Linked DNA regions of Arabidopsis thaliana. The protein of the gene in region 3 interacts with the protein of the main gene of each other region in a pairwise test. Each region holds a gene or a part of one and is shown on either strand. Other genes may lie near its edges. The genes, in order: AT1G54770, AT5G18150, AT2G46550 and MYB6.

The links.
Region 1: the proteins of AT2G46550 (region 3) and AT1G54770 interact in a two-hybrid assay, tested with the Arabidopsis thaliana proteins (one large-scale study listed by BioGRID).
Region 2: the proteins of AT2G46550 (region 3) and AT5G18150 interact in a two-hybrid assay, tested with the Arabidopsis thaliana proteins (one large-scale study listed by BioGRID).
Region 4: the proteins of AT2G46550 (region 3) and MYB6 interact in a two-hybrid assay, tested with the Arabidopsis thaliana proteins (one large-scale study listed by BioGRID).

The regions. Positions count from the first base shown.
Region 1 is NC_003070.9:20,430,355-20,439,065, forward strand, and holds AT1G54770 (Fcf2 pre-rRNA processing protein), read left to right. Parts: upstream 1-4,195; 5' UTR 4,196-4,448; coding exon 4,449-4,660; intron 4,661-4,740; coding exon 4,741-4,801; intron 4,802-4,878; coding exon 4,879-4,956; intron 4,957-5,042; coding exon 5,043-5,155; intron 5,156-5,355; coding exon 5,356-5,461; 3' UTR 5,462-5,807; intron 5,808-5,937; 3' UTR 5,938-6,099; downstream 6,100-8,711. Other genes in the region: AT1G54740 (FANTASTIC four-like protein (DUF3049)), read left to right, coding at 485-1,384; AGL85 (AGAMOUS-like 85), read left to right, coding at 3,558-4,043; AT1G54773 (uncharacterized protein), read left to right, coding at 6,269-6,305, 6,398-6,429; AT1G54775 (Plant thionin family protein), read right to left, coding at 7,430-7,660.
Region 2 is NC_003076.8:5,996,722-6,004,201, reverse strand, and holds AT5G18150 (Methyltransferase-related protein), read left to right. Parts: upstream 1-3,647; 5' UTR 3,648-3,870; coding exon 3,871-4,008; exon of another isoform or gene 4,009-4,095; coding exon 4,096-4,188; 3' UTR 4,189-4,396; downstream 4,397-7,480. Other genes in the region: AT5G18160 (F-box and associated interaction domains-containing protein), read right to left, coding at 293-1,432; AT5G18140 (Chaperone DnaJ-domain superfamily protein), read right to left, coding at 4,503-5,126, 5,245-5,313, 5,659-5,967; AT5G18130 (uncharacterized protein), read right to left, coding at 7,037-7,153.
Region 3 is NC_003071.7:19,108,379-19,117,211, forward strand, and holds AT2G46550 (uncharacterized protein), read right to left. Parts: upstream 5,829-8,833; 5' UTR 5,614-5,828; intron 5,095-5,613; 5' UTR 5,080-5,094; coding exon 3,886-5,079; 3' UTR 3,583-3,885; downstream 1-3,582. Other genes in the region: AT2G46535 (uncharacterized protein), read left to right, coding at 1,320-1,775, 1,871-1,942; AT2G46540 (fiber), read right to left, coding at 2,309-2,344, 2,780-2,862, 3,225-3,303; AT2G46560 (transducin family protein / WD-40 repeat family protein), read right to left, coding at 7,192-7,302, 7,441-7,619, 7,710-7,931, 8,032-8,165, 8,326-8,549, 8,658-8,831.
Region 4 is NC_003075.7:5,989,306-5,997,204, reverse strand, and holds MYB6 (myb domain protein 6), read right to left. Parts: upstream 4,298-7,899; 5' UTR 4,187-4,297; coding exon 3,924-4,186; intron 3,615-3,923; coding exon 3,167-3,614; 3' UTR 2,947-3,166; downstream 1-2,946. Other genes in the region: AT4G09462 (Carbohydrate-binding X8 domain superfamily protein), read right to left, coding at 1-345.

The DNA.
Region 1 (8,711 bases), on a different chromosome or scaffold from region 3:
TGATTGTTTGACAAATATCCATTCAAAATATACTAACTAAGGGATTAGATCACGATATTAATGACATATTCTTGTTTTCCATTTTTTCCTTTAACACACACAAACCAAAAAAAAAATTAAAAAAAAATTTTAAAAAAATAGTCATTTTTCCTCTTTTTATATCTAAAAACAAGAAAGAAAACCAATTAAAAAGAAGTGACAGAGATTGAAGTGTGAAGCCATCTGACGTGGGACTTATCTTACGTTCTCTTCTAATCTCTACAGGTCATCTTTCTCGGTGGCACCTTTATTCACCAAGCAAAACACCGCTTCTTTCGATCATCTATCTCTTTCCCATTTTCTTTTCTTGACTTTTTTTTCTCTCTCTTCTTGTTCTATTATAAACAAAAAATGTGTAATAATTATTCATCAATCCTCAGAATAATACAAATAGGGGAGTAGGTATCTATCTTGTCACCCTCTCTCTCTCTCTCTTGTTACCAAGATGAGCTTCTACAAAAGAAGCTTTCACTCTTTCCTTGGCCAAACCAACACCAAAGGGATGCCGTTTGAATCCGGTCTTGGCCATGATGAGACACAATCACATGGCTTAATGTTGTGCACAGAGTATCTAGGGTTTGAGAGTTACGACATGAGGATGTCCGATAACGAGGTGGAGAACAAGATGACTTGTCATGCGGAGGTGGAGACCGAAAGGGTTGAAGCAAAGAGGAGGAAGACGAAGGAGAATGTGGTGGTGCAAGCGCAGAAAAAACAGTTTCCTCCGCCTCTCTCGTCATTAAACAGCCGTGGACAGCGATATTTTTATCTCCGTCCGGTGAGAAAAGACGGTAGATTGGAACTTACGCAAGTTATGGTCGATCGACCAGAGATTTTCCACGTTTCTAGAGTAGATGGACGGTTGAGATTACATTTTGTCGATGGTGTCGAGAATCCCATTAGAGCTTATTCTGGTCCTCAAGAAATTGTGGCCTTAGAAGAGGAACCTAAGGGTCTAGGTAATGAGAAAGAGGGAGGGGAGATTAGTAGATCTGATCTGGAATGTGGTAGAGAGATTAATGAAGACGACAATGATGGTGCATGTAATCAAGGAATGGATTTATCTATAATCAGTGATGATAGTGGTGCAAGAAGTTGGAGATGTAAAAGTAGTCATGATGTTTCGGTGAATAGTAATAATGATGTTGCACATTTCCATGATGACCATGACACGAGAGAATGGATGTACAACAGTGGTTTTAAGATCGTGGCAAGTAGGAACCATGATGAGAACAATCATCATCATTATCATCATCGTCATCGTCATCATATTCATCCATACCATCATCATAATAGTAACAATAACATGAATTTATGGACCCGGACGTACGTGAGGACCAGGTGAGGTTATTAATCAATGTTTTTTTTTTTTACGTGGCGGCTTGAAACAAAAAATATATCAACTAAAAAAGAGTACAGCTATATTTTCTCTGGAAGTTCCGTTGTATTTTTATAAAATATTCGAAAAGTCAAAGGTTGGGTGTTGTTATAAGTAGTGTCAACAATATGATAGCGTGTGAGTGTAATATTATTGTTCGTTTAAGATGCTTATGTATATGACTTCCATAATTGAAACATCTTATTACAACTTTCAATTTTCATATTATTATGCCTTTTTAACAAAGTATTATTCCAATTTTGATTACACCGTTTTTTATTTATGTAATTTGATCAAAATAAAATCGACAGATAATCTCTTCAAAAGTTTAGAGTTTAGATGTTCCAGTTTTAAAAATAATTATGATGAATCCGGAATAGGCCACAATTTTTTTTTTTTAATACAAGATTTTAGAGTAAAACTCGTAATCCTCTCAGACACGAAACGACAACATGTAATATTAGTTTCGTTCCAAAAATATCGAACTGACGATTTTTAAGCTTCGGCTAAGAGTTTTACTAGTTCAGCAATGATACTTAGTGGAATAGGCCACAATTCATATGTTATAATTCAATGTTTCATCATTTAATGTTTTAGAATCGAACTTAGTTTGGTGTTAGTTAAAATCTTTTCGACCCTCGTAATTAAGAAATAAGGAAAACATAGGTGAAAAGATAGAAGGCAATGTAACGCAAACGAGTCTGTCTGATCGGTCCAATTGTTGGTCATTCGTCCATATATAGCTGTCTGTTGAAAATTGGAACATTAATGTTGTCAAAATTCTAAGATTGCAGGTTGCATTTATAGACTCCATTTCCCTCCACAATCGACAGGTCACAGGCCTTTACGCCACATATAACCCCAAGATACAATGCATATTTAAAAGTTCTTGTGAACTGAAGAAAAGTTTCGACGGGTTGAGATACGAGACATTGAATTTTGGAGAAGAAAACAAAAGCTAGGGAAAAAGTTTGTGGTCCGCAAAACATTGAAATGCAATAAGAAAACTGAGTTAAAAATTAGAGTAGGAGCCGTGTTGATTCCCTAGGAAAGCTTCAAGTATAGGAGATTGCATGAAACGTTTTGATAACGGAAATGTTAAGCCTAATAAAAGGAAGTCACCTCCTTATGGGGAGTTTATTACGGCCTATACATCGCATGTAGAAAACGAGTTTCTCGGTTAGAACTTAAAATGGATTTGGAAGTAGTGGTTGGTTTTCTGAAGATAAGGGTTAGTGAAACTTATCCGCTGTCTTTCCTGTTACGCTTGTGACATGGCTTTATATCAAAGGATTAGAATATCAAAATTTCACATATTTACCGGGAGGATAATCGTTTTGCGGATGAATTAGCTAACCATGCTTTTTCTTTAAATTTAGTTTTTCACTTTTTAGATACTATTCCAAGATGTTCTCTTTTGTCGGATGATGCCCGTTGTTTGGCAATTCGATGGCATGTTGTTGCTTGTTAAGTTTTTGTATGTTGCTATGAATAAATTTGGGGAGGCATTATCTCCCCGTCCCCTACCAATTTCTTTTTTTTTCTTCTATCCCATATATATATATATATATATATAAATTTCGAAAACTCTTTGCTTTCATTTTCTTAAAAAATCACGTAAACATAATTTTAGAAATAATTAAATAACAACTTATAATATTTTTTTTTCTTCCCATATATATAAACTCCGAAAACATATAGTCGTATATTATTTCTTAAAAAATACTTTCAATTGACTTTTTCCTTTTGTATTAAAATCTATTCTCCCACATATTTGGTAGTTATTTAAAATTGTAGTTCATACAATCACAGTCTTTACCAATTAATTTAAAAATCATACAGTCAAATTCCTTACATCAAAAATCCTTATAACCTTTAACTATGCGAACAACAAAGATTACCAAACTTCCAAACATTGATCTACAGATTGACTAATTTTTATGCAATTTAAATTACTACCATTTTTCCATCTATATAAACCCAATCTTGCACCCACAAAAAAAAAAAAAAAAAGAGAAACACATACTTAATCTAAATTTCTCCTTTCTTTATAGTCAATTCATATTTTTGTTTTCTTCCAAAATGAATCCCAAGAAAACCAAAGGAAAGCAAATGATTAACATCAAAAAAATTGAAAAAGATGAAGACAGATTGGTCACATTATCTAAGCGTCGAAATGGAATCTACAATAAGCAATGAGCTTTCCATTCTCTGTGGTGCTGAAGTTGCGTTTCTCGGATACTCTTGCTCAGGAAAACCATACACATTCGGCAGTCCGTCTTTTCAAGCCGTGGCAGAGCGATTTCTCAATCGTGAGGCCTCATCATCGTTGCAACGATCGGTCATGAATGCTCACCAACAAGCGAAGATTCAAGAGCTTTGCAAAGTATACAATAGAATGGTGGAGGAGGCAAAGACGGAAGAAGCCAAAGTAAAGAAGGCAGCTGCATTAGCGGAGACAATGCCCGTAGATGAGGATGCGTGGTGGAAAGTGGATCCAAAGGAGGTGGAAGATCACGAAGAGGCGAAGAAGATAATGGAAAAGTGTGAAGGGCTCTATGAGAAACTGTGTAATGAAGCTGCTGCAAGGATCCAAAGAGGAGATGCTGAGAATAATAACAAATGATCCATTAATGATTAAGATTTTAATTAGTAGATCATTACTAATTAAGTATTTTTGAGTCTTAAGAATTATGTTTTTTTTTTTGTCTTTTCTTTTTTATACATTATGAATTGTTATTGTTTTCTACAACATCCAGCAATGGATTAATGAAACTGAAATATTTTATACATAAAAGAAGCCCATTACAGCCATTAGGCCCAATTCGTGATCTATCATCTACTCAATCTCTAACCCTAATATCTCCAATCTTCATCTCCGTCGATCTCCATTGATCTCTAACACTAAAATTCTACTACTCTTCACTTTCTACAGCTTAGGAAGAGTTCTCGACAAGCTGATTCTTCGAGTTCTCGACAAGTTTCAGTGTTTTTGTTTCCGGGTCACAGAGAACAAAGGCAATTTACAATAATGGCAGAGACTAAACAACCACTGATCGGTCTTAAATGGGAACCAAAGCTTCCAGGCTTATCCTTAGACTTGAAAACTGGTTCAACCAGAAGCAAAACAGCTGAGAGTTCTAAGTCAGAGCTTGTTGATGGTCTTTGTCTTCCACCTAATGATCCAAGGAAGATTAACAAGATGATTAGAAAACAACTCAAAGACACTACTGGTTCTAACTGGTAACTCTTCTTTATCTCCTCTACTCGGATTAGTTTGATCCGGCTTGTGATTAAATTGTATTTCTTCAAACTGTGGATAGGTTTGATATGCCTGCTCCAACAATGACTCCTGAGTTGAAAAGAGATCTTCAGTTGCTTAAGGTAATAGATTCTTTTGCTTTTGTTGTTGTTTTAGGTTCCATAGTCCTTACATTATTCTAATTGTATCTTTATTGTAGTTGAGAACTGTAATGGATCCTGCTCTACACTACAAGAAATCTGTGTCACGGTCTAAACTAGCTGAAAAATATTTCCAGGCAAGTTTCAGAACTAGATCAAAGAGAATAACCGTCTCTTTCGGTTTCTGTCTTAACACAAACTTTTGTTGTAAAAAAAAAAACAGATTGGTACAGTAATTGAACCAGCTGAAGAGTTTTATGGGAGATTGACAAAGAAGAATAGAAAAGCAACTCTTGCTGATGAGTTGGTTTCAGATCCTAAAACTGCTCTCTACAGGTTAGTTACTACCATTGTCTATTAAGAAACAATGTATAGGAAATGCTTAAATTCTGTAAGTATTATTGATAGATGTAAGTAAAATAAGTGTGTGGTTTATCTATTCTATCAAGAATTTGTATTTTTGAGAATTTGTATTCATATAGCACATGTGCAATCTTTGTTAAGTGAATGTTTTTGTGTTGATTATGGTTTTACAGGAAGCGTAAAGTTAGGGAGATTGAGGAGAAGAGTAGAGCTGTTACGAATAAGAAATGGAATAAAAAGGGAAACCAGTCTAAGAACACAAAGCCAAGAAGGAACTGAATTATTTTTGTTAAGAGTATGATCATAGTTTTGGGACACATTTTTTCTATTTTTAATAGAATATGGTCATAGTATTGGATACACTTTCTTGCGGTGATATAGGTTGTAATGACTCTTGTTGTTTATGGCCTTTGTTTAAAGGATTTTGTGTTATTGGTTACACCTTTGATAACTGTAATAACTCTTGTTGTTTATGGTGCTTATGTTATGTATATCCAAAACCAAACCTTGTCTAGAGCTACTAGGTGGGAAACTTGTTTCAGCAAGACTGAAATTGAGTCCTAGTTTACACCTTTTGCAGAATTGCAGGGTCCAACCACGAGAGCATCGAGTTTTATACTTTCAGGTAGCACTCATAGTACCTCCCTGTTTGAGTCATCTGGCACTGACCATGCCACACATATTTATGTCAGCACAGCAAAACTTTGGTATTCAGCAAGATCTAAATTATGTGACTTTCTTCTTTTGAATCATAGTTGTAATGAGGAGGCTAAGAGTATTGCTGCAGCTGCTTCGAGCAGGGGAAAGATTGAGGTCAGTTGTTTGAATTTTTGTTTTCGCTCGGCGTTGTTCTATGATATTATATCAGCTCTTTGGAATTAAGAAGATGAATTGTGTGTGTAGGATTTAAATCTATGTCAAGTTGAACTGTTTAAGCTTGCTTTTTTTTTTTTTTTGAATCTGTGTATTGGCTCGGTGTTGTTAGAATCTAATTTCTTACTAAGTATCTCGACAAAGTCAGTTTCTTGGAGAGTGCTGATTACAGGCAGTTTGAGAAAGAGAGAGACGCTAGTTTGAGAAGACACGATGAGACCGACTCCTCTAACGTTCTTCTACATCTGCTGTAAGTAATCTTGTTTTCTGTTCTGTTAGAGAAGTCTTCTTTAGTAGACTTTGTAGCATTTTCTCAAGTGATTTGGTCACATTCTTTGGCAGTGTCTAAACCGAGTCCCCGTTTTCTTGATTGATTCGGATTTATTTCTTATGTCTCTCTCGAGAGAGAGTTCAAAACTGAGACCATCCTCTCTGAAGGCCATGGCCAATGAAATGGGCTTGCAATGCAACGTAAGCCCAACTTGAATCCCACGATTCTAATTCGAGCCGATATCTGAAACAACAATTCATTTGTGACTGCAATCTACACCAATCTACACCTTGTTCTTGTAAATCGTTTGTTTTCTTAGTTTCTACCTAATGAAGCTCATTTGGTCTCTATACAACATAAATTTCTTCTTTTGGTTTTGAAATCTAAAACCTGAAGTAAAGCTTGATTGATTTGGTTTATGGATTGCAGGGGAAAAAGTGGCTCTCTCTTTAACATTTACAAAAAAAAAAAAAAGTGGCTCTCTACAGAGTTGATAGTCGTAAACAAGCAAGCTCGTGTTAGGTTTTTTCTATTGTTGGATGGTTTTGTATCAATGTTCTCAATATTGTTTTACTAGATAATGAAGATAACTTTTATATTGTAAATATATTAAATTCATTTTGTAATTATTATTTTTTGGACAAATATAAATGCATATATAAGTAAAAATGTGATAACACGTTTCATTGAGTGTATATTTAAAATGTAATTATGCAAAAAAAAAATTAAAAAATATTTAATTAGCAATTTAGAAGTTTAAACATCAATTCTGTTTTGAGAAAATAGTATAGTTTATAGACATGTAGTATAGCTAATGTTTATTTCACACATATGCCAATTTTTAGTAAATAAATCGTGAAGTGATCATCACCATAAAATCTGATGGCCGCAATTCAAACCCATGTAATCGAATTTTGTTTCTAAGATAGAATCTAACACAAAATAAATTAGTATACATACATGATATATTAATTTTTTTTTTGTAACATGATAGATTAATTAATTTAAAGATAAGAAACCACACACATAAATTATTTATAGATTTTTAAAAGTTTCAATATTTATTACATAGAAACCCAAAAAATCCATCATAAAAGCGGTTATCAGGAGGCGTGTAAAATTTCACTTGAGCAAATTTGTTTTGGTTGCAGAGATTTTTGCAAGCAATTCTCACAAAAAGGAAGAGTTGCCGTTTTAGAATCTTTCATGCACTGATTTGGGACACAATGTTTAACACATACTTCTATCGTACTCGCGTATGTTGAAACTATCATCGTTAATAAAACTACAATCATCAAAACACTATATATCTTTTTCATTGTTTCAGTTGCCATTATTTGAAAATATGAGTTTGTGAATGTTTGAGGTAATAAAAATATTGTTTAGGTTATATAGCAAAAAAAAATTAACAAGATAATTAGTGTTGAGTTGGCTTTTTGTAGTTTTGTACTTTATATAGCAAAAGTATTTTTATCCACTTAAAATTATTGATTTTGGAAGTATATCCGTTTCTTATTAATTAAAAAGTTAGTTTTTTTTTTGTTTATGTTATTAGCTGTCCAAACAATCTTGCAATGTTAAATCGTCATTTACCAAAAAAATTGCCAAATTTTCACCATTGTCAATAATAAGTCAAATATTTTATAATCTTAATTCAAAAACTATCCCCTAAAACATGATTATATAAAAAAAAAATCGTATTGATGGGTCGAGATATTTAGCATTAACTTATAAACCAAAATGAATTTACAGGTTGATTTGATCTATTTAAATTTATTGGATTCATAGGTTGACCTAATTAATTTAGCTAAATAATTTATCTAACACTCAACTAATTAAGACAATAGATGGTACCCATAATAGATTAAATTTGAGTAACTTCAAAAGTTTCTATTCAGTTTTTTTTCTTACAATTTTTTTGTGGTATTAATTCTAAAGCATTATCAATAATATTGTCACATTTTTAAAAATCTTATTTCAGAAATTATCCCCTAAAAAAGATTATAAACTAGAACCTTTTTTTTGTATTGATGGGTAGAGATATGTAATCATTTAACTTACAAACCAAATTGAATTTACATGTTGATTTGATCTATTTAAATTTGATGGATTCATGGGTTAACAACAACAAGAAAAACAAAATTAGTTTAATATTATACCACATGTCACGCTCTAGTGAGAATGTTAAGAGTTTATGTAATAACACTAACAAATTTTGTATATTTTTCCTATACTATAAACATTTTTAATTTTTTTTTTTGAATATATTAACAACAACAAAATTAATAGAATGAGGTTAATAGTTTAATATATTAGCATTTTTTATATAAGAAGTAAATTTTATTTATTTTTGAATATTTAACAAAAACAAAGTTTAATAAAATT
Region 2 (7,480 bases), on a different chromosome or scaffold from region 3:
TGTACTTGTTTAACTTTAGGACAAAAGTCTCTTTTCTATTTTTGAGAAAAGGATCACATGGAAATTGCTAGAAACAGAACAGAGGAATCGTAGGTTCAATCTCAAAAACACATATTACAGTCTCTCCATGTATAGTTTTATAAAGTTTCTATTAAGTCTCTAGAATATGTAGTATCATCATTAAAACATATTGGGATCTCCAGTGGGATCAATCAATCAGTGGATACAAAAAAAGATCTGAAGAACACTTCAGAAATATATAGTGTCATTCCATGCAAAAAGATGAAATCTCTTAAAACGAGATGAAACTCTCAATGTGATTTGGTAATACATAAAAGTCATTCACAAGATCAAATCCAAGTCTATCAGGTTGCCAAATCTGGTTATCCGCAATTCCTTGAAACTTGGTTTCTCTGATATTGTTTTTCTTAGGATCAAAATACACAACACAGAACGATCTATTCAAACTAAATCCTGTGTAAATAAGCTCACCAGCATCAATAACACCCTTCAGACTTGTGTTGGGAGGAAGACATAAATGAAACTGTTCATACGACCATTTTCGATTCCCTGCATCCTCCAAACTCCAGATTTCAACAACAGAGCTAGTGGAACTTATCAAAGCCAACCTTCCCTCATAAGATACCATAAGAAAGCGGTCATAATTACGCATCGGAAACTCAATATGTGTAAACTCTTCATATCTGAGATCAAAGCCAAATATAACATGCCTTGGAACCCTATCAAATATAATAGCTTTATAGTAGATAACTCCATTAATGCATCGTCCAGTATCTTTAGTAGGCCAATGTGTATAGCCAGGTTTGGTTACTCTCCATGATTCTTGAATTTCCAATGTAAGAACTTGAGTGTTCCATCCTCTGACAATGCACAATGCTTTGTATTTACCCTCTATCGGTTCATATCCCAGAAACCCTCCTACGTTGTATTCGTCACCGGTGCCTTGAGGCTCAGGTAAAGGGAAGAATCGTTTCAAAGTAGGGTTACAAATCACGAGCTGTTTAGAACCTTCTAAGCAGATCAAACCGTGGACGGAATCAAGACGACGGATGAAACCATTCTTGGGGATTTCAATGTGATAATCTTGCACATGAGAATAAGTATTCTGGTGTTGGGGAGACGAGAAAACGATCAGCTTGTCGTGTTTTCGGAAGATTAGTAGAACACAAGGTGGTGATGTCTTCTTGGACCGATGCTTGATGAACTCTGGTGTGGTGGTAATGGACGACCAGAGCTTAGAGACGGAGCGAGATCTGACGATTGATTTCGCAGGAAGTCTTGAGAGTATCTCAATGGTTATGTCGAGAGGAATCGAGTTTGACTGAGATATGTGATTACCATGTGAGCATCTTGTCGTCAATGTAGATGAAGATTTTGTTGTTCCCTGCTTCTTCTCGTCTTGTTTGTCCATGGCCGATCGTTCCACAATCTTGCTTTCTTAAAATTCACCTAATTTGTTCGTTCGTCTTCTTTAAGTTAACGCTTATTTGTTCTTCCGTCTGCTATACTACTAAATATATAAGATGAATTAGAAAGAAATAAGGTAAACTTGAAAAGGAAAAATGGAAAAATCAAATTATATGTAAACTTGAGTTAGAAAGAAATAAGGTAAACTTGAAAAGAATAAAAGGCAAAAACAAATTATGTTAATTGTAATTATCCAAATTAATATTTCATAATTTCTATTTTATAGTTTTAGATATACAACCCTTCAACTTCCATTTTTTTTTGTAAGGGTAATTAACAAAAGTGTTTGTATTGACCGTTTGTGATTTTCTGCATCCTCCAAATTTAGATAATTCTACTTTTTAAATCTGAGATCAAAGCTCATTAGGGCATGCTTCAAAGTCAACTTGGGATCTCCAAGAACAGAATTTCATATGGTTCTTACAGATGTTAATCTTGATGGATTGTGGAGCAAGCAACATGGTTATCTTCTTCATGTTTTGTAATGATTCTTCTCTATCTTACCCTCTAAACTAAGAGAAGAAGTTCTGTTTCTGATTTGCCAAACCTTTATACAACTCAGAAACTTATGTTGGGACTTGAAGTTATGCAATAATATACAAAGGCACACCAAATCAAGGAAAGGTCAAATAAAGATTACAAACACTAAAGGCAAAAAATTTATAAAGGAATGATCAAGTAACGAACACAAGAAAAATCAAAGATATAAAAAGAGTTATAATTGTTGCATCAAAAGTAAGTTTCACTGATCATTGAGCTATGAAGGCGCTGCTTTAGAAAGACACAAGAGTCTCGATGTGGTTTGGAAAAAAATACATGTTGTATAAACCGTCGTCTTTATCAAGTCCATAACGGCACCTAAATTCATCGCCTAAAATGTAGAATATAAAACGATTTAGACAAACTCTGTGAAGCAAAAATAAGCACACCAGCATCACTAACACCCTTGAAATGTAGATGTTTCCTTCGTATTGGGTGTGTCCCAGAAAGAGGTAAAACAAAGTGTTTATGCATCCATTCGTGTCTGTCTCCATCCTTCAAAAAACCCATAGCTCAGTAGAAGAGAAATTTCTAGTATTAACTATGGCTAACCTTCCCTCATAAGGTACTAATACTATCATATGAGAAGCCATTAAACACAAGCACGGATACCACTAAACCCTAAATCCAAAACTTTAAGCTCTAATCTCCATTTAGTTATGAATTAAACGCTCACATAAATTAGTTTTTTTTTTTTTTTGGTTGCCTTCTTTCCTTGGTACAAAAGTAATATCCTAAACTTATTATTCACAAAGCAATAGGGTTTAGTTTCGTGGAAGCTTTAAAGTTTAAACCTCTACCTTTTGAAAATTTCCATGTATGGTTGAAATTGCTTTTTCAAATAGATGTTGCTCGTACAATATTCTGCCATGAAGAACCCGATGTTCTACCAAATAATCATTAATTTGTTGATCTAACAAGAATTTACATTAAGCCAAACATAATCATTCATAACAATCGATATGACAAATAACTAACTCTTTTACATATGACATTGACAATTTTCTAGAATGCGCCTTAAATTGTACAAAAAAGAATTAGACTATTTTAGAAGAGTTATTTCAATTCTATAATTGCGTCCCGTTGACAAAATCTTCATCATACGTGATGATACAATAATACAACTACTCAAGTGGTAGTTGAGGTCAGCCTCTTCTAGAGGCTCATATATTATATTTACTTATTTTGGCTTTCTTTTACCCTTTAATATAATAACCATCTCATTTAGACCCCCTAACTTTTGCATGGTTAACTCAACACACCTCTCAATTGTTTTCTTCTCAAATCTATATCTATTTGGAAAAGAAAAAAAAACAAGCTATATAGCATAAGAAACACAACATAACAATACAAATTATTTTTTCTCACGTAAGAATCTAAATTCTACTTTTCCCATTAATAGTGACTCTTTATAATCATTAATTTAATTCAAAAATTCGCTTCAAATTTTCAACATTATGGGTGAAAATTCTTTCAACTCATGACATTCTCGTAGAAATTAGGATTTTTATAAAACATTAAAAGAAAATTGACAAAAAAAAAAACATTAAAAGAAATGGGGCTAATTTATAAATATGGAAAACACTGTGGGTCTTTATGTAATTGACGTATATATCAAACCACCAATTCCTAAATTTTCCTCATTGCTGAAAGATTCAGAAACGCGTTTCCTTTTTCTCGTAGTGGCGAGAGGGGAGACATGTAATCTCAATCTCACCCCCTTTATAATTTCTCTATATCTCTCTCTTCTCTCACACAATTCTTCGTTTCCCAGAATCTTACGAACCCTAAAACTTCTCATTCTTCGTCACACATTGAGATCATATTCCAATTCAAAAAAATATGTGTCCGATGAGGTTCTTATTGGTGTTCTTCTCAGCTGTACTCGCCGGATATTTCGCATGGAAGACGGTGAGTTCTTCGCCGGAATTCGATTCACCGGACGAATTGAATGAGAAACAAGAACTCAATCTCAAAAAGGTAAGCATAAATCTCGTTCCTTTTTCGTTAATTTCTGGTGATTTGTTCTAATTTCTCTGTTTCTTTGTTGAATTGCTATTTTAACAGAAGATGGAGAATGGGTTTTGGGTGTTCGTCGATATGGCTAGCGGAAGATACCTTTGGAGGAATCTCAAGGAAATGAGAGAGAAATCTCAATGAAGATGATGATGAACGAATACGAAAAGATTTCATCTTTTTTTTTTTGGTTTCTTCTTTGTGCAGAAAGTGTAAGAAACAATAATAATGATACTTTACGAGTTTAGTATTCATTTGTTCTAATCTTTCTCCTGAATTTTGTAACTTTTGATTCATTGATTTGTAATCTTGGAAAAAGAATAACAAAGAGTTTGTAACCTTCAAGCAATTTCTTCTCTTTACTACTAATCATTTTTCTCCAAGACCCAAATCATAGGATACAAATAATGTAACTTAGCTATTTACAATCTAAAACGTAGTGGAAACTTACAGAAGATTCAGGTTGAGTCGACTTGAAGTTTGATTGACATGTAGAGGAGGGTGAGAAGAGCACCTTGTGGAAGAGGAGCATGTCTAGCTAAATTAGAGCCAACCCACATTGCTACTAACACAAGAACCACCACGCTGCTGCTTGCTTTCCCACAGAGCCAGCTTGCAAATGTTAAGCAGAGAGTAAGAAGGATACCGCCTTTTCCGCCAAGTATCCAAGCGATCATGAATCCGACTTTGTAACCCATGTCGAGTTCCTTGTCGAGCAACGCTGTGAATGTGCTAAATGTGAGAGATGCTAGGCAACCGAATGTATATAGAAGAAACATCGATAAGAAGGCGGATTTGAGAGCTTCAACAAATGAGTCTCGCTGGTCTGGTGCTGTTTCTACTCCTTCTTCTTCTTGCGGCTCGGTCTCAGCGTAGAAATGTGAGTTTGGATATGTAGAATAGTGTCCATAGAATCTCCCGTGTCTGGATCTTTGTCTTTTCTCAGACCAGGTGTAGTAATACTTCATGGCATCTTCAACCTCAGGGGTGTAGCTGTGCCTTTTCACTCTATGGAACCGGGAATTTTCTTGAAGTTTAAGTGCTCTGTCGTACTGAGTCCTTGTAGCTTCATTAGATAGTACCTTTTGAAAAACAATACAGGTAAAGTGAGTAAGATTTCATCTATTGATGTTACATTGAATTCCAAGAACAACAACACTCTCATAGAAGGAAAAAAGACACTTGAGAAGGAATACTGACTTCGTAGGAACAACGGACACTCTTGAATAGCTCTCCGGCTTTAGAGTCCTTATTAACATCAGGATGAAACTGCAATAGTAACACAAGGATACAGTCACAAACATAACCCAAACAAAGCTAAGGGATACAGAGAACAGGTTATTCATTCAGTATCCAAGTGAGCAAGAGCTAAATTGAAATATAAGAATACAGAGAACAGGTTCCACCAAACTCCAGACACATGTTGCTAACTTATACAAACACAAGATTTAAACTTTTCTATTACCCAAATCATGTTGCTAGAAGAAATTGGTCGTGTTCTCAACTACTTCTGATACTGGTTGCAAATTTCACATCTTTAACGCAACAATCAATCAAACCAAACGATGCAAAACTAGAGAAATTTACTAAACGAGCATTTCCTTAGTTCTTTACCTTTCGAGCTAGCAAACGATAAGCTCTCTTGATGTCACCTTGTGTGGCGTTTCGAGCGATGCCCAAAACAGCGTAATGATTCTGCCCGCCGGTATTAGAACTTGAAGAAAACGCAGCACTAGTAATCGTCGTTTTCGAGCGATTACGGTAACTCCGAGATTTGCCGTCGCGGTGCCTTCGACGGTGAGGGAATAGGTCTCGGCCGATAGGGTTAGACGACGGAGGGAGGAGATCGCCGGAGAAGGAGGAGGAAGAGAATCGACGGTAGCCTTTGAGTGGGATAGGTCCCACCAAAAGGTGAGTCTGCATTATCTTCTTCACTCACAGTCACAGGTCTGTTTGTCAAACGGACCACTGACGTTAAGTGGTGGAGGAGAAGAGAGGCGACTTTGACGGAGGACCGTTAAAATTAACTGGTGGGTTAGATTATGGGCCTTTAGATATTATTGGGCTTGTTCTTCAGTTGATGTACCTTGCAAGCGCAAGGAACTAAACCCTTAGATATGTAGGCTAGTGATTTGAATTAGTGTTGTCATTGTGTCATGTTCAAATCCATGTTTTTGTTTATCAAAAGATTTAGTAAGTTTTACACCAAACTACATCATTGTAGGCATTTACATTTGAAATTTAAAGTGAGATTTGTTAGTCATCTTTGAATTTTTGTTTGAACTGTGATACTTCTCGAAAATTTTGGACTCTCTACATCGAAACAATTAGGTAAACTATTTAATTGTGGATCTTTCGCACCATTAAAATCGTTTTGATGATAGCACTTTTCTATACATCAATTATGTTGTATTATGATGGTTATGTTGTATTAGGTTTGAATTTGTATAGTGACCGAACAACTGACACAAGAATTTAAATACATAATTTTTTACTTATTCATAATAGCAAAATACTAAGTTTATACTCTCTTGTGTATTATCTTTGTTTTTCTTGTTCTTGTATATATATCATTTACCTATTGCATTTTCTAACGACTTAATAAGTATATATCATCGTTCGCTAGAACTTGATGTCGTATTGTCGTACGTAGTGCCGGTTCCAAACATGTGCTAGAGGTGCTCATGCACATGGTCCACATTTTATTTATTTATATATAACTACATTTGTTAAAATTAGGGTCCAAAATTTGTTTGTCCGAAAAACATAGAAAATAAGGCCTATATATGTTTCCCAGCTCAGAGTACATGATATTTTGAGTCCGCCCTGGTCCTATGTAGGCGTCGGCTTAGCCAGTATGTAGTATGCATTCGGACAAAGAATGTAAAATTTCACAACCATTATTTATATTGAATTTCCTAAATTCGTAAATACATAAGCTATAGAGGCGATTAAGCAGAAGACATTGGATCTATGGCTATATGGCTATGATTCAAAGTGCATCGTAGTATCCTCCAAAAGATATTTGAGCTCTTGCCACCGGAAGACCTTTCATCACAGAGATTGCTTCATTTAGCTTTGTTGCATGTTTCACTACCTCGTTCATCCGCTGCAATAACGAGTTTAAAACCAATCACACATCAACGACTTTGAATCATAAATCTATATATCAATAATGGCTAACTCGGTCCCAAACATCTCTAGGCGGCTCTAGCTATTATTGATATGCAAGGAACAATGACGTTATTATATAAACGTGTTTTGGTTCAAAGTGTGAGGGTGACGCAAGAAAAGATAAACACAAAACGTACAAAGACAAAATAAGAATCTTCTCTACAATTATTGATTGTTCACTAAGACACGTAATAGGCCACACCGCCAAACGCATCCTTATCACTTTCGTTGTATCAAAGACACAAACAACTTTACTATTCAA
Region 3 (8,833 bases):
AATACTGAGGCCATAACATTTTTACTGTATAAAATTTCTTCTAACCTTCTTATTTATAGTCAGTTGACTAATTAACCCAATAAAAGACCTATAAAAGAAAAAGTGTCAATGCAATACACATGTTTAATAAAGTTGATCAAATAATATTAGTATGATAATATACTTGTTAAATGAATAATTAATATGTAAGAAGACAAATGGAGTTAACCTGCTCCCTTTTTATTTTGTTTTGTCACAACTCACAAAAGAACCTGCTCCCTTAATCTTGTGTTTCGCGTAACAAAAGACCCACCTCCCTTTTTTTGATTATTATTATGGACGTCTTATTGAACATTTTGACTTTTTTATTATTGCAAAAACCCTCACCTAAGACCACTTTCATCATATTTTAATAATTTTTCCTAAACTAAATTAATCATCATTATAATCTTAAGACTTGCGAGAACACACTAAGCTTGAGAAGAAATCATAAGCTCGGTGTCGGTGGGAATGTTTTACTGATCAAACTACATTTTGGTTTTGGGTCCACTTTGAGCTTTCTTTAAAATCGTTAATCATAATAAAGTCATTTGTCGGCAGATAATTTTCACGTCAGCTTCATAATTCCTTAATTTTAATTCGTATAATTTGATGAGATCACAAGAATTTCTTCAATGTAGTAGAGTATATCAGTTGCATGAATACAAAATGATTTAATGTTAATCACATACATACCATTGATTAGAAAAAAAAATGGTTAAGAAGACCAAATAGAAAAAGAGATGGTTCAAATAACAGTCTCTCACGCGCCTCTTTTCTCAAGTTTACAAAGCGCAAAATCCTTCAGCCATTTTAAGTTCACGTGCCTCACGTGGTTTAGGTGCGCGTGGCTATGTCACGTGTTGCTTCTGCTTGTACTACTATTACATTACCTCTTGAGCAGTTGGGTGATATTTATTTATTTTCACCTCTATAGTAAATAGTGAAGCTTTAAAATGTAAAAATACCATCCCTTATAGAATAACACTGTTTGAACTTTAGTGACAATGTATTCTTTGAATAGTAAGAACAAATAATAACAGTTTAGTTGGTGAATGATTCTATTATTTGGTGACGTGGTCAGTCAAATTTCCTCTAATAACAAAAGAGTATTGACTTTTATGAATGGTTGTCTATCTAGTCAACAGTAAAAAACCACCGTTGGATCATTAATAATCACAAATGATTTGAGATATATTTAATGCATTGTCTTTTTTTTCTTCACTCTCCCACTACCTAAAAAGAAACTGCCTAAGACTAAGCTGAAGAAGAAGAAAGAAAGAAACAGAGAAGACATAAAAATGAGAGGAGACAAGGAAGAAGAGAAGGCGAAGCTTGCACTTGTGTTAGCTGCAAAGTCAAGATCGTTGTTGTACACTTCATCGCCTGCGAGTCCACGTGTGTTTGCTTCTCCGATTCACACTCTTGCCTCTGTTCCGTTTTGTTGGGAAGACCAACCAGGCAAGCCCAAGCACCCTCTTCGTCCTCTTTCTTACCCCAAGTGTCTTGATTTGCCACCTCGTTTGCTCCTTCCTGGTGAGTTCACGCAAATGCCCTTGCCCGAGAGGAAACATGGGCTCTTGAGGTTCTTGAGGAGGAAAGGGAGAGGGGATGTTGTTGTGAGGGGTAATTATGTCTTTCTGTCGGAGAATCAGAGAGCAGGAGATAATATCAACGAGAACAACATGAAGATCATGAAGTTTAACAGATCAGGGAGTTACCATGGTGGTGGTTCTGTTAAAGGATCTCACTTTTGGGTAAAGTATTTGTGTTTCTCCGCTCCTTCTTCATAACTTCTTCATCTTCCCAAGTCTTGTCTTTCGCTGAAACGGGTTTGGTTGGGGAAATGCAGGGAAGTTTATGCAAGGGATTGAAGCTAGCAATGCCATGGAAGAACAAGAAGATGAGAAGTGGAAGTGTTTAAGCCTGTTTTCAATATGCATTATCTATCTATCTATTGAGGGATCAAGATGATGAAAAAGAGCTATTAAGAGTGTATGTAAGATTAGCAATTTTACTGTAATTTAATATCTGTGTGATATGCATATATAATGTTGTTAAGACTCATGAGCCATGGCAAGAAAAGTTTCAAGCTTTTTTCATTTGTTGTTAAGAAATGAATACATCTGATCAAGTGATGAACAAAAGTGAGTGTACACACATGCCTTTATATTAAGTTTCATAACAAACAAATGAGTCTGGCTTATTCATTGTGAATAGAGAGAGTAAAAGACAAAAAAGGAATAGGGATCATCTGAATGTAAGAAAACAGGGGAAGTCATTGCTTGTTTTAACTCTGTTTCTTCCCTGTGACACCAGCAATCACCTGCAAAAGCAAATTGGATCTGAGTTAATACTTGACGCCTTTGTTTGCCTGTAAAGAGTATATAGGAAAGCGTTGGATAACTAAGCAATGTGATAACTAACTAGTCTCTTTTATGCCCAATCCATTTTTGGCAGTAACAAAATGTGATCATGACACTCGTCCAATGATGAAAAGCATAGATTTTTAAGGCATGGATGAACCAAAGATGGAACTCTCAAATCACAAGAAGACGCAGGAGGAACAAAACATCGAGATGATGTATAGGCTACATCACATAGCAAAAAAAAGAAACGTCCAAACATTCGCCTACACGGATACTAAGAACAACTATCATGCAGAGTTCCCACATCAGAGACATTTCATTAGATAGGAAATAGATGACGATTTTAGCAGCAAAAGGAATTTCCACAGAGATAAATATATTCTAATACATACATCGGTAAGTGGAGGAGCTTTAACTTGTTTGGAAGCCTCGAGAGAGTCTAGAATAGGCCTCACAACCGCAGGCAAAAATAGTCCTACAAGATGAAGAGAATCCATCAGCAAATGTATATTAACACAATTGCCTTTTGCTAATGTTCAAGAAAGACATAATCTTTTGCTACTTATACATGGAGATAATGGAAGACATGGTTCCAAATTAAGCTTAATTTCAACTCCTTAAAATACACTCTCTTTGACAACCCAAAGAAATGACGATTCCGAATAGAGAGATTTGGATCAGGCATTTCTCTATATTCTCAAATTACAATCGAGCAAACTAGCTCTATAGATTCAAAGAGGAATTCCAGAAACTAGATAAATCCCAAAGCAAATCCTTTTCTAAGAAAGAGAATGCGATCGATCGGTGAGGAATTAAGATTGAGATTAGGGTTCATACCAACACCGCCGATTAAGCAAGAAGCAGCCACAACTGGTTCCTGCGCCACGAACATCCTCAATTTCTCCATGACCGGCATTTTCGCACTTTCCGATTTTAATCTCTTCCTCGGATTACGACCAAAGCTCCTCGTCAATGTCTGATTCGATTGATAGTTGCTCCTGAGTAAACCATTTTCTCACCTGAAACGAAATTAAAGATCATCTCCGGTCGGGTCGGGTTACTGGGCCCAAATGTTCGCAATTCGGCCCATTATAATCACCTTTGCCGTAATTAAAAAATATATATACTGTATATCTTTCTCTTTCTCATTCTGCTTCCAGCAGTAAAAAATTACTAAGTATTTTAAATTTTCAAGAAATCGAAGCTCTAGGAACATGAAAGAAAGATCATATACACTGTACAGTAGTTAATATATGCAGATATTACATGAACATGAAAGATACTTACTTACACATTAAAGAAGATAATTTCATATGATTTTTGAAGGAAAAGATCAAACTAGTAAACACAATATTAACAAAATTCTTACAACAATTTACATTCTCTCCTTAACGAAATCCAAAAGCTGATTCGAAGCCAATCTTTTAACTCATTTCAACATCATCAAGCTGTTCAATGAGAAAAAAGATGAAGTTTTGTCTCTTTTCTTCTCTTTAAACTAGAACGATAGCATCTGCATCCATCCAACAGTCCATCCAAGAAGCAAACCAGCACCAACAAGACTCATCCCCAATGCTAAACCAACCGCGTACTTTGCTCCATTCGGTTTACCCCTTTTGCTTCTTCTCTTTCTCCCCTCTTTTCTTGCTTTGCCATTGCTCCAACAAGGGATGGAAACCCCTGGATCGTCGTTGTTCTTATTGTCAATCTCCTTGTTCTTGATTTGGAGGTAAAGTGCTTCTAGCTGAAGCAGTTGTAACCATTGCTTATACCCAAAAAGCTCTGCGGCTTGCTTCAACAATATCTTCACCAAGTGCTCTTTCTCTGCATAAGCTTCTTTAGCCATATTCTCCGCTTCCCTAGCCCGCGTTTGCGAACGCCTCAGTGCTTCTAGAAGCTCGGATTTGCTTAAATCAGACTCAGATGAAGCCTCGGGTCTGTTCTTGCAGCTGCTTCCTTTGCTTGTACCCTTGATGGTTTGGCCAGAGACAGAGTAGTCTCTCAATCCATCAGAATCAAAACCACGTGGACTACCATAATAAGATCGTTTCATCTTCTGCGGTGTTGGTAAATCACAATTCTCAACATAGTCTAGAGATCTTTGTGCAACCAAGGAAGCTAACTCGTCTTTATCCGTAGTTCGCCACCACGGTGCAGCTTTCTCACTCGAGAGAAGATTCCACGGCGAGCTAGGATCAAAAGAGAGCTCACTTAACTTTTTCTCAGAGGACTCATCATACCCAGTTGAACCATAACTCTCCCTTGTCTCCATCAACTCTATAAACTCTTGAAAGCTTTCGGAATTAAAAGACTTTCCTTGTTTCTCTCCAGCTCCCAATTCAGACTTCTTCTCAGATACACCTTGATTGTTAACCTCATCCTCCAATGGCTGCTTCTTATTCACCTGAAACTGATGATGAGGATGACTCCACAGTCTGGTGTTGTGGGGTAACAGATCAGGGAAATTCGGGTTTCGAGGAAGAGGCATGAAACCTGCACAAGATGATTGAGTCCGTGGTTCAACAGAAACTCGAGGAGAAGAACCAGAAACTTCCACTTGCTTAGTTGAAGAAGCAGTTGAGGATGAAGATGATTGGCAATAAGTTAACTTGGGAGCTCTTTTAGCGTCTTCTTGGACAAAGCAACGATTAACTGTTCTTTGCCACACTGCTCTTGCTTCAGCTGCTGCCATTATTTCACCATAACTCTAAAGATAAGACAAGAGACTGAGAATTCAATTCAAGATCAATGTGATTTAGAAATTAGGTAGATTTAGCAAAATCTTATTAACCGTTTTGAATCTATTTATAGGAAAAATAATATGAATCATTTATTTCAAAGGAAGAATCTTTCTGATTGCCGACAGATCCATCACCAAAAAAGCTTATTACAAAACTACTTTTTAGAGAATCTGATATGTTTTGCTTTCCAGGTAAATTGAAGAATTAGTTCCTAATTTTCTTAGAAGCAAACAAAAACCAAAGCCAGATTCTTTGTCAATTTATCAACTTACTAAACAAATCATCATTATTTGCAATTGAAATCAAATTTCATAAAACTTCAACTATAAAATTATCAAACCCAGAAGAACACAAAAAAAAAACATGAAACGCGATTAGACCTAAGAATCAAAACCGGACACAAAAACAACGGATGGTGATCCAAATCATAATTCATCTTAATGAAACCGCAATAATTTGTAAGAATTCGGAAAAAAAGAACTAACCAGAAGGAGAGAGTAACACCAGACGAAACCCAAAAAACGGAAAAATCTATGATTGTTTAGTCAGTCTCGTGAAGAAGATAAGAGTTGTTCTGATTTTTTTTTGTTTTCTGATTGTCAGAGAATTTTTGTTTGCTTTCGATTAAAATCTTTTGAATCATTTTGCAGTTTATTATCGTTTTCTTAGTCTCTGTGTCATTCAGCACGCAAGCTTCCGCAAAACGGCACCGTTTTCTGAGAGGACCCATAGTTATGTTAATGAGTATTTGAGTCCACAGATTTGCCCATAGATTTCACCTGACAGCCGTTCGATTAGATATTAATTACACGTGGCGACAAAAAAGAAGATCTAAAAAAGGCTTCCCTTTCCTTTTTTAACGGATAAGACCTTTTATCTTATCAGTTATCACTATACGATTACGCGCGATGGTAGATTACGTCATAAATGTTTGGTTAAAACATAAAAATCTTGTAGTAATTGCGTCGAATGATTTTGATTTTTAAATGATCGATTAAATTTTAAATTTCAAGTTAGGGTCTACTAATATTTTTTATGACATCGTTTTCATTTAAGTAATAAAGTGGCCAATGGTAAATAGACATGTTGAAAATATAAAATTAGGTTTTTTACATGTCAATTTGGTTTAATGTAGTTCTGAAAGTTAGGTAAAGAGAATGTAAATAGTGGCCTCGTCTAGGAAATTGAATGTTAGGTGAAGCCAAGTGTCTTCAAGTCATTATGGTTAATTGTCTCTCTCCATTATTCTCCAATTGATAGTGTTACATGAGATTTATTTATTACGTGGTTAATAATTATTTAAGCAATCTAAGATATTCTAATAAGATGCTTTATGTGAGCACTAATATATTCAGTCATAATTAACACCATAGTCTATATATATACTATATATACAACTAACTTCTTTAGAATAATTATTAATGAAATGGACCTTTGCCTTAACTTAATAGTTTTAGGAATAATTCTTGGCAAATGGGGTTTTAATCAAACATTTTGATGATTCATATCATTTCGTCTACAAGACTACAACACAAATTATGGAGCAGTTTAATAATCAACCATAAGATAATATTCCACTACGTAATACGATAGTGGCCAGGTTCCTAGCCGTCAATTTTTCATAATCTTATTAAACTATATCGAGCTAATACCAAACCAACACCAAAAAGAAAGAAAAAAAATTACAATAACGAACTAAATCTTGATAATGTTTATTTTCGGTTCTATTGCACTACACTTAACACCAATCTAATTGGAATCAGTCCGATTTAATCTGGTCTAAATCTGATGCAACAAAGTCAACGAAAACTATGTCAAAGATAAATAGATGATATTTCCGAGTATAGATTGAAGTCAAGTCAAAGATAAATTAAAATCTGGATTATGGTCAACTCAAGATTCTACTGCTTCATAATCTTTAATATATTTGTATATACACAAATATTAAACCATATAGAGAAAAAAACTACATCACAAAAAATCACGTATTCAATAAACACACGCAAGGTAGCAATAACTCGTTTTCTCGACTGCAAAACTTTCCCGGAAAATGTATCTTCTTTTTATTTAGCATCGCCATAGGAAGAATCTACGAGGCTGACGAACTTCACCGTGCCATCACCACCACACGTTATAAATCCATTCGGACAAACTTGTATGTCAGTCACCCCAGCCTACACCAAATTCGTAACACATACCCAAATTCGATTACATACACCGACATTACTTTGATTCTGGTTTACTAAGAAACCAAAGCCACTGTGAGAAAATACGATGAAAGGATTATGCTTTAGGTGATTTGGTTCACTAACCCGGATGATTCCACCGTAGCCTCTCGAGTTTGGCTGCAGAAAAGTGTGTCTTTCGTGTAGTTTAGGCCAATGATGAATCAACTTTGCAGCTTTCGCATCCCAAAGTTTTACTTCTCCGTCTTTGCTTCCCGTCAAGAAAAGACTTGTGCGTGGGATTGTCGCTATTTTTGTCACACTCCCTGAAATTTGCATCAATGTCAATCAAATTTCAGGATATTTTTCCGGTAAAATTGGAATATGAAGGTGAAAATAGGCTTTAGGGTGTGCACCTAAGTGAGCCTTTGGTATATACCAAAGCATCCCATTCTTGTTTTGATCTCCATCAGTCGAAGATCCACCGTCAGGGTTCCTTTGCTTCTTCATCTTTCCGGTTGCAATAAACCGGAAATCGTGCAAACCGACATCACCATTTTTGCCACCAGTCACAATCATAGGAGAAATTGAACCACTACCAATGTCATTATCAAATACCGAGATAGAGCGTGCACCACCTTCATAGAAGAAAAGGGACAAAACAAAAAAAAAACTTGTTAAGAGTTGTGATTATGGGAAATGATACTAACACTTCTACAAAAAAAATTATTGGAGGACCTTCATGGCAATTGATAGATGCCTGGGAGGTTGAAGGGGGAGCTAGAGTATCCCACACAACGACATTTGCACCACTTGAGCTATATCCTGAAGCTGCAACAATGGATCCACTCGAACTAATATATCCTACATCTCTGCAACCATAAATAACAGAAACAGAATAGCTGAAGCCAATAGAACAAGAAACAGAGAAATAATGGTAATTTTCATGACTGACAGCAATAATTTAAAACTTATGTGTTTTTAGCATATTAGTGAACAAGAACTTATAGACTCAAGGATCATGAAACGTACGATGCATGGCCATTGAAGCAAAGAGATGATTCAACAGGATGAATATTGCTCCTTCCTCCAACTTCTGATTGCCAAGTGCATACAGTTCCATCCAGTGCAGCGCTAGCAAATCTGTGTCCGAATGGACCGAATTGCACTGCTGATATCGACGCCAAAGCATAAGGAGGGGAAACATTTGCAGCAGGAAGAACACCATAAGTTGCAGTAGCTCTTTCGTTTCCAAACTGTAACATGCAAGGTTTGCATTATAAGATCCACAAGGATAGATAAGAAATGTCATATCATTTACTCCGAACTCCTAAAACAGATGGTGCAAGTGTTTAGGCACAAACCTCCCACAAGTATATGTGAGTGTTGCTTGAGCCAACCAAGAAGAGGGGCATTGTCGGGTGATTAGAGAATGCTCTCGTAATAACACTTTCAACTGTTGGGGGAGGATCAACAAACTCTTCAAATTCTTCTTGAGTTTCCCAACCTAGACCAGAGACTCCTAACCACCGGCGGATCT
Region 4 (7,899 bases), on a different chromosome or scaffold from region 3:
CTAAGACGCATACACACATTTACCAAAACTAGGATCGGTAGCAGCAAATGTTCCGGTATTTTTGAAACTACATGCCTGATTGGTACGACCATGAGTCTGATAATAAGAGTTCATCACAAACGATGCATGATTTGCAAGATTATTAGGGATAAAACAAGATCCACCAGGTTGGATTGGCCTACAATCAACTCCTTGACTACATGCAAAATTAATATTTGCTTGCAGCTGCGCATTCGTTGCGATTAGAGTTGCTATACACCATGTTTTGGAACTCGCCACATGGTTGATCATGATGGAAGATAACATGATGAATAAGAGAGCCAAAGGTGATGATATTTTGGCCATTTTTAAAACTGACAATTGAATTGATATTCAACTAATTTAGTGTTTGGATATCTATGTAAGTTTATGTATATGTATGTCTATGTATATATATCCAATTTTTACGATATGTTTCTATTTTTGTAGATATATTATTCCTAAGTATTCATTATGGTCGAAGATCTGAATAAAATTGAATTGTTATGTCTATTAAAAAAATTATCTCGTGATAGTAGAAGTAAGAGATTTGAAATATCTAGAAATATATCTTTATAATTAGAATTGATGTCTATAAAAACTTTTTAACTAGATGGTAGAAAATCAAAAAGTTTAAAATATTAGGAAAATAAACATATGCTTTATAATTAGAAATATTTTGTAAATACTAATTTATCTTTTTAATTTGAAATTATATGTCGGTAAAAATAGAAATATATTTTTATAATCAGAAATGATATGTCTATAATGTATTAGTAGAAAAAACATTATTTAATCATATTAGGACAAGTTAAATAAATCTTTAAAATTGGAAATGACATATTTGTAAAACATTTTAGTAACTAGATAGTAGAAACTTTAAGATTTAAAAATATTTAAGAAATAGAAATATATATTTGTATATCCATTATCTATTAATGAGTAAGTGTTAGAAAAGCCCTCACTCTCAAAAATACCCCACTTTTGGCCATTTTTATTTTTGCTCTCTTTCAATTGTTAATTAATATTTTACCCCTATTTGAAAAATATTGAAATCAAAAATGAAAAAGTGTATTTTTTTATCAAAAATGTTCCGCAAAGTTTTTCCTTTTTGCAAGAGAAGTGATCTTGTATTTTTTGACGGGACACTTGATTCTGAAAAGTTTTGCGGGAAATAGATTTACAAGAGGGGTTTAAAGGATTTTAAAAAAGTTTACAAGTGTTTTAAAGGGATTTATAAAGTTTTTAAGGAGGATTTCATGATCGATTAGTTAAAGTGACGACTTTAGGATATCTTTTTAAAAGAATTTACTGTTCTATACTGTATTTTATTTCATGTGTGTAGTTTGTCATACACTATTTGCTGATTTCTCAAGAAGTAGGGCTCGTCAAAAGCTTAAAAAAAACCTTTATTTCTCCAACCCTAGATTTAGACAGACTCGACCCAATAATCTACAAAAGTGGAGTAATGATGTATCTTTCAATCTAACCGTACCTAATCGATCGATGCCTGCAATTGTTGAGTAACAGATTAGGTTAGTTCTTAGACTATAGACTATTGAAATTGTAAGTCTTTGGTTCAATTTTGTTCCGTGGAATAAGAATTATGTTTAGTAAATGATCTATAATTTTAGAGTCCTGGAATGAAGATTTTAATGAATCTCTTGCAAATTCATGTAAATATATAGTCCTATATACTTCAATAGTTTATCAAATATGGTTAGTTTTGCAAATGATCCTAAAATTAATTAGACTTAGCTATTGATAGTTTACAAAATTATGAAGACTATAGTCTATGTTTATGTAGAAGATGTAAAAAGGTATATCAATTCATATAAAATAATAACTTAAACTCGTTAGAGAATTTTCTTAATTTTATTAATATTAAAAATGAGAGTGATAACTTCTTTTTTAATTTCCAGGAAAAGAGGAAGTCATGTTTGGCTGGATCTCACCTAAATCTCACATTCCCATTCCTTCTTCCTCCTCTTACGCACATGATTCTCTCTTTTGTTTTACATTTATATTATTGTTTCTTTAATTGTTTAGATATATTTATGCGTATGAATATGATAATATCTCTACGAAACCAATTCTTGTTTTCTTTTTTTTTCTTGTTCTGACGTCGACCAAAGATTTGTCTAAAGACAAAACATTTTGCTTTGCCTTAAGATCATATTGATAAATGTTTTTATCGAGACTTGGCTATGTCAAATTTGTTTCGGATAATCTATAAGGTTATAGTATTGATATATAAAATATTTATCTTATTAAAGATTAGGTAAAGTCAATTATTTTTTGGTACACAATATGGTTTTAATGATAGATTCTGCCACCTACCTGCCTAAAACATGTCACATGTCTCCTCCCTTATCTTATTCTCTTATTCTATATTTCTTTATTTAGTAATCAATTTGTATCTCTTCCAATCAGCTGCTTCTTCACATTCCTTTTCAATGTTTACGTCTATAGTAGTTCTTTTAATTAATTTCGTTGGCACCAAATTACGCTACAACTATAAGTATTAATAGAAGTTCTCAATTCTAGTTTTTTCCTAAACAATAAAAAGTTCTACAAACTAGAAGTTTGTTTGTTGAGATGAGGACCATGTGTCCTAGCACTATATATAAACTAACACCGAAAACCTAATGAAAAAAAATAGTTAACATAGTGAACGAGATATTTGTTGAAACTTGCTAGTTGCAACTATATGGTCCCCATTATAACCTAATTCAAGTTTCTAGAAGCTTTTGCTTCAAAAAACATATAAAAACTATGATCTATACCAACATGTAAAAATGGATAACGGTTGATCCATAAGAAAGAGTCCAAAAGGGACCAACCATGTTCACATTTCACTCCTACATTTATACTTCTACATTTTATAACAATATTGTCAAAATAAAATTCAAATTACTCATTTGCATTCCTAGACAATGGTGTAATATTCTTATATATTTCCATAAAATTATTTTGGAAACCATGTATCGTTTTTTTTCTTTTTCTTCAAAAGGTAATATGAACAAAAACTAAAACAAAAATACCAAAGAAACTGAAGTAAAGAATTTCTATATTTATCCAAAAGGACTCAAGCAAAAAAAAAAATGAAGTAACAAAACCCATTTTTTGGGATTTTTTTGACAAATTATTACAACAGTGACAAACGCGCCTCCATCACCGGGTCGCACCACGGTTTAGAATCAGCCGATGACCCGACTCCGACTATCCGACCCGACCAGGATCCAAACCCAAGAGTTAAATCCAAATTCAGCTTTATATGTCCTGAATTATCACTATAATAACACTCCCCATTCTGCCGGAGATCCTCGTCCGTCGTCGTGCCGCTAGTCGAAGCTCCGTTATCGGAGGAATTTTCCGTCTTCGGTTTAACGGCTAAATTGGAAAAAGAATACTCAACGGCATCGTTTTGAATAGGAACAACAACTTGAGACGACACCGTTTTGGATTCGTTAATCTGACGATGAGTTTGTGGATCAATACCGTGACTAAGAAGCTTCCTCTTAATATGAGTGTTCCAATAATTCTTTATTTCGTTATCTGTTCTTCCTGGTAATCTTCCAGCTATCAATGACCATCTGCAAAACAAAACATTTCAAATTCATATGAATAACAATAACAGAGGAAAGCTTTAACAAAAACAGAGGAAACAAAAAAGTGAACGACTCTGTTTCCTAGAAAGTTGAAACTTTTTTCCTGGGAAAGATCAAAGAAGAAGAAAGAGCAGGAAAACAAAGTGACCCAGTTTCTATTTTCTCTCTGTTTCCTAGAAAGTTGAAATCTTTTTCCTAGAAACAAGAGTAGGGAGAAAAAAAAAAGTGACTCTGTTTTTCTATTTTCACTCTGTTTTTTTAGAAGAAGAGAAAGAGAGGAAAAAGTTATCGTACTTGTTACCGAGTAAGCTATGGAGTTTGATGATGATTTGATCTTCATCATCAGTAAAATTACCACGTTTAAGATCAGGACGAAGGTAATTAATCCATCTCAATCTACAACTTTTACCACAACGCAACAATCCAGCGGATTTAGGAAGAGAACGCCAACAACCTTCACCGTGATTACGGATATAATCTACGAGACGTTGATCTTCTTCTTTAGTCCAAGCTCCTTTGTTTGTGTGAGCTTTTTCACAACAAGGAGATCTTCCCATGGTGAATGAAGAAGATGGTGTAAGAGAAGAGAGAAGAGATCAATTTGTGGGTTATATAAAAAGGAGGAGACTTTGACTAAGTTTGGTATATGTACATGTGACTATGTGGAGATAAAGTGAGGCTGTGCTTTGCTGTGTTGTGTGTGGGGTAATGGAGATTAGGTAGGTAAGTAAGTAACCTTCTTTTCTCTTTTTTTCTTGTCTCTTTACTTTTTCTCCTTAGATTTTGGTTTTTGTTTTTTTCTTTCTCTCACTGTTCTTATAATTTAGTTGGTAGTTAAGAAAAATACAATGCAAAAATAATATTTATCAAACATGTTATCTTTTGGAAAAAAATGTCATTAAAATTCTCAACTTATTGAAAACTTTGATTTAAATCTTGAACTCTCGGCGAACGAAACAAATATCAAACTTATGTTACTTTCCAAATAAATACCAAACCTTCTTGACTTTTCAAATAAATATCAAACTTTTGTTGACATGACTATATTAGGCATGATGTTCAGTAGGTTAATAGACCTTGAACGTTTAGTGTGTTAACATACTCGTTGATTGAAAACGACAACGTTTACTCTAACAATAAAACGTCATCGTTTTTGTCATAACGGCTCAATTAAATCTCCAGTTTCAAATCATATGGGGATTTAGAGATAGGAATTTTGCTTGATTTAGAGATCTTAGATTGAATTTGGGAATTTAGTTCAGTCATTATTACAAAACGACGTCACTCTGTTGTTGGAAACAATAACGTTTTGCATTAATGGGCCTCTGTTAACAAAAAAATTAACTCCGTTAACGGGATCTAGTAATTTACTTAACAGTGTGTCTAATATCGCCAGGTCAACAAAAATTAGATATTTATTTAGAAAGTCAAATATTTATTTTGTTTCGTCGAGAGTTGAGGATTTAAATCAATGTTTGCAATGAGTTGAAGATTTTAATGACATTTTTCCCATTAATTAAATTTAAAATTAACAAAAGAACGACGTCGTATGAAGGAGTTCTGAATTGTTTTAGTTAAATACAGTTTTTTAGTTGTTCCTGAAGAGAAAAATAAAACTGTGATTATTTCTTGACAAAAAATGTTTTTATTTTGCTTATCTTTCAATGGAGTTTTACATCTTTCTTTTATAGACTTCTTTAGAACAATCTAGAATCCTTGACAATGCTATCTTTAATCAATAGCTATTTATTGTGAATTACTGCAACGGCAGCGACTGCAACGGCTTGAATTTGTTTTCAAGTGTTATTGTCTTCTTCTCCGTATTAGTGACAGTCTTCTGTTTTGCAGGTAAAGAGCTTTTGGTCTTTATCTTCTTTTGCATATGTTGACTGGGCTTCTGTAGTGGGCTTTGTTGAGTTTGGGCTACCATGTCTTTGTTTTTGTCAAAGCCCGTTCTATTTATTGGGTTGTCTTCTACACCCTCCTTCAAACTTGGCGTGGGTGAGACCGGTGACGCAGACACGCCGAGTTTGGCTCTAAGCGTGATAAAGGGCCGTCGCGGTAGTGACTTGGTGAAGACATCAGCAAGTTGAATAGTTGCTGGGATGTGTTGCGTTTCTATGAGACCGAGAGCCACACGTTCCCTGATGTAGTGAAAGTCTTTATCGAAGTGTTTAGATCGTTTATGAAGAGCAGGATTTGCAGAGAGGTAGACAGCAGATAGGTTATCACAGAACACTCGTGTAGGTTGATGTTGAGAGATTCCAAGATCTCGGAGAAGAGAGGAAATCCAAGTGATTTCTCGAGCTGTATCGGAAAGAGCTCTATATTCGGCTTCTGTTGAGGAGTGAGAGATAGTGGGTTGTCTCTTTGCAGACCAAGATATCAGAGTAGATCCCAAGAGGATGCAGAAACCAGTAGTGGAGCGTCTAGTGTCCTTGCAGCCAGCGTAATCACTATCGCAAAATCCCGAAAGAACAGGGTTGTGGTGTTTTCTGATTGGAAGCCCCATGTTGATAGTTCCTTTCACATACCTGAGTATGCGTTTGAGAAGGCCAAAATCAGAGTTGGTCGGAGCGTGCATTCTTTGGCAGATGAAGTTCACGGCATATTGAATATCCGGTCTTGTGATTGTTAAGTATTGTAACTTGCCAGCTAAACTCCGAAAGTATGTTGGCTCTTCAAAGGGTTCTGAATTGAGGTCTTCCAAGTGTTGTGGCAGAGGGGTAGGCATAGGGTTGCATTCTGTCATGCCTGCTTGATGAAGAATGTCGGAAGCGTATGCGTGTTGATGTAAAAATAGACCATTGTTGTAAGATTCAATTTCTATACCCAAAAAATAGCGAGGAGGCCCAAGATCTTTCATCGAAAAGCGGTTGTTGAGAGCTTGAAGAAGTTTATCCATGAGCAGTTGATCACTTCCTGTGAGGAGTATATCGTCGACATATAAGAGGAGTATGAGACTTTGCCCATTTTGATGACAAACGAAGAGGGAAGGATCAGATGTGCTGCACTCAAAGCCAAAGTCAAGAAGAAAGTTGCTAAAGGTGTCAAACCAGGCTCTAGGCGCTTGTTTTAGACCATAAAGAGCTTTGGTGAGCCGACAAACGTGATTAGGCTTGTTAGGATCAACAAAACCAGAGGGTTGGAACATAAACACCGGTTCTTGTAATTCTCCATGGAGAAACGCGTTGGACACATCAAGCTGTTTGAGAGGCCACTCATTTGCAGTAGCGGTATCGAGAACAAGACGTATAGTTGCAGTTCGAACAACCGGACTGAATGTCTCAAGATAGTCGACTCCTTCTTCTTGATCAAACCCTTTGGCAACTAGACGAGCTTTCAACTTATCTATGGTGCCATCAGGTTTGAGTTTAGTCTTGAAAACCCATTTGGATGTCAGAATATTCATGTCCTCTGTTGCAGGAACTAGAGACCAAGTGTTTAGCATGTGAATGCGATCTATCTCATCCATAACTGCAGCGTTCCAGCTAGGATGCTTCATAGCAGTAGTAATAGTTTTTGGTTCATCAAAAGAGGATTTAGAGACAATGAGAGCATACCGGGGGTTTGGCTTCTGAATTCCATCTTTTGATCTTGTAATCATGGGATGGAGATTTTCTAATGAGCCTTGTCCTAGTGCATTGTCTTCATTTTGATCATTTAGTACGGGAGCTACTTCGTGGTCAAATTCATCATTTGATTCAGTTTCCTCATCAGAGCTAGTTTCCATATTAACATTGACGGCTTCCTCTGTCTCATAATTCATCATTGGCTGATTCTCACTTGTTGCCATAGGAGTCATTTGTCTTGCAAGAGGTTGTAATTGAGAAGAAGGCACTGAAGGTGGTGTGAGATCAGTATGTTGCCAAGCCTGTAGTAAGGTCGTCTGGTATTTTGGAACCAGACTGTGGTACTTTTCTTTAAATGGGAATTGAGCTTCATCAAAAATGACATGTCTAGAGATGTAGACTTTACCGGTAGGAGGATACAAACAGCGGTATCCCTTGTATTGGTTGTGATAGCCAAGAAACACGCATTGCAACGAGCGTGGATCAAACTTGTTCTTTGCTAACGGTCTCAAGCAGGGGTAGCAGGCTGTACCAAACACTCGGAGAGGTGTATAATCAACTTTTTGTTGAAACAAAGTTTCATAGGGACTTATTTCCTTGAGGACAGAAGAAGGCAAGAGATTACTGAGATAGTTGGCAGTGAAGAAAGCTTCTACCCAGAACTTGAGAGGTGTATGACTGTGATATAACATTGAAAG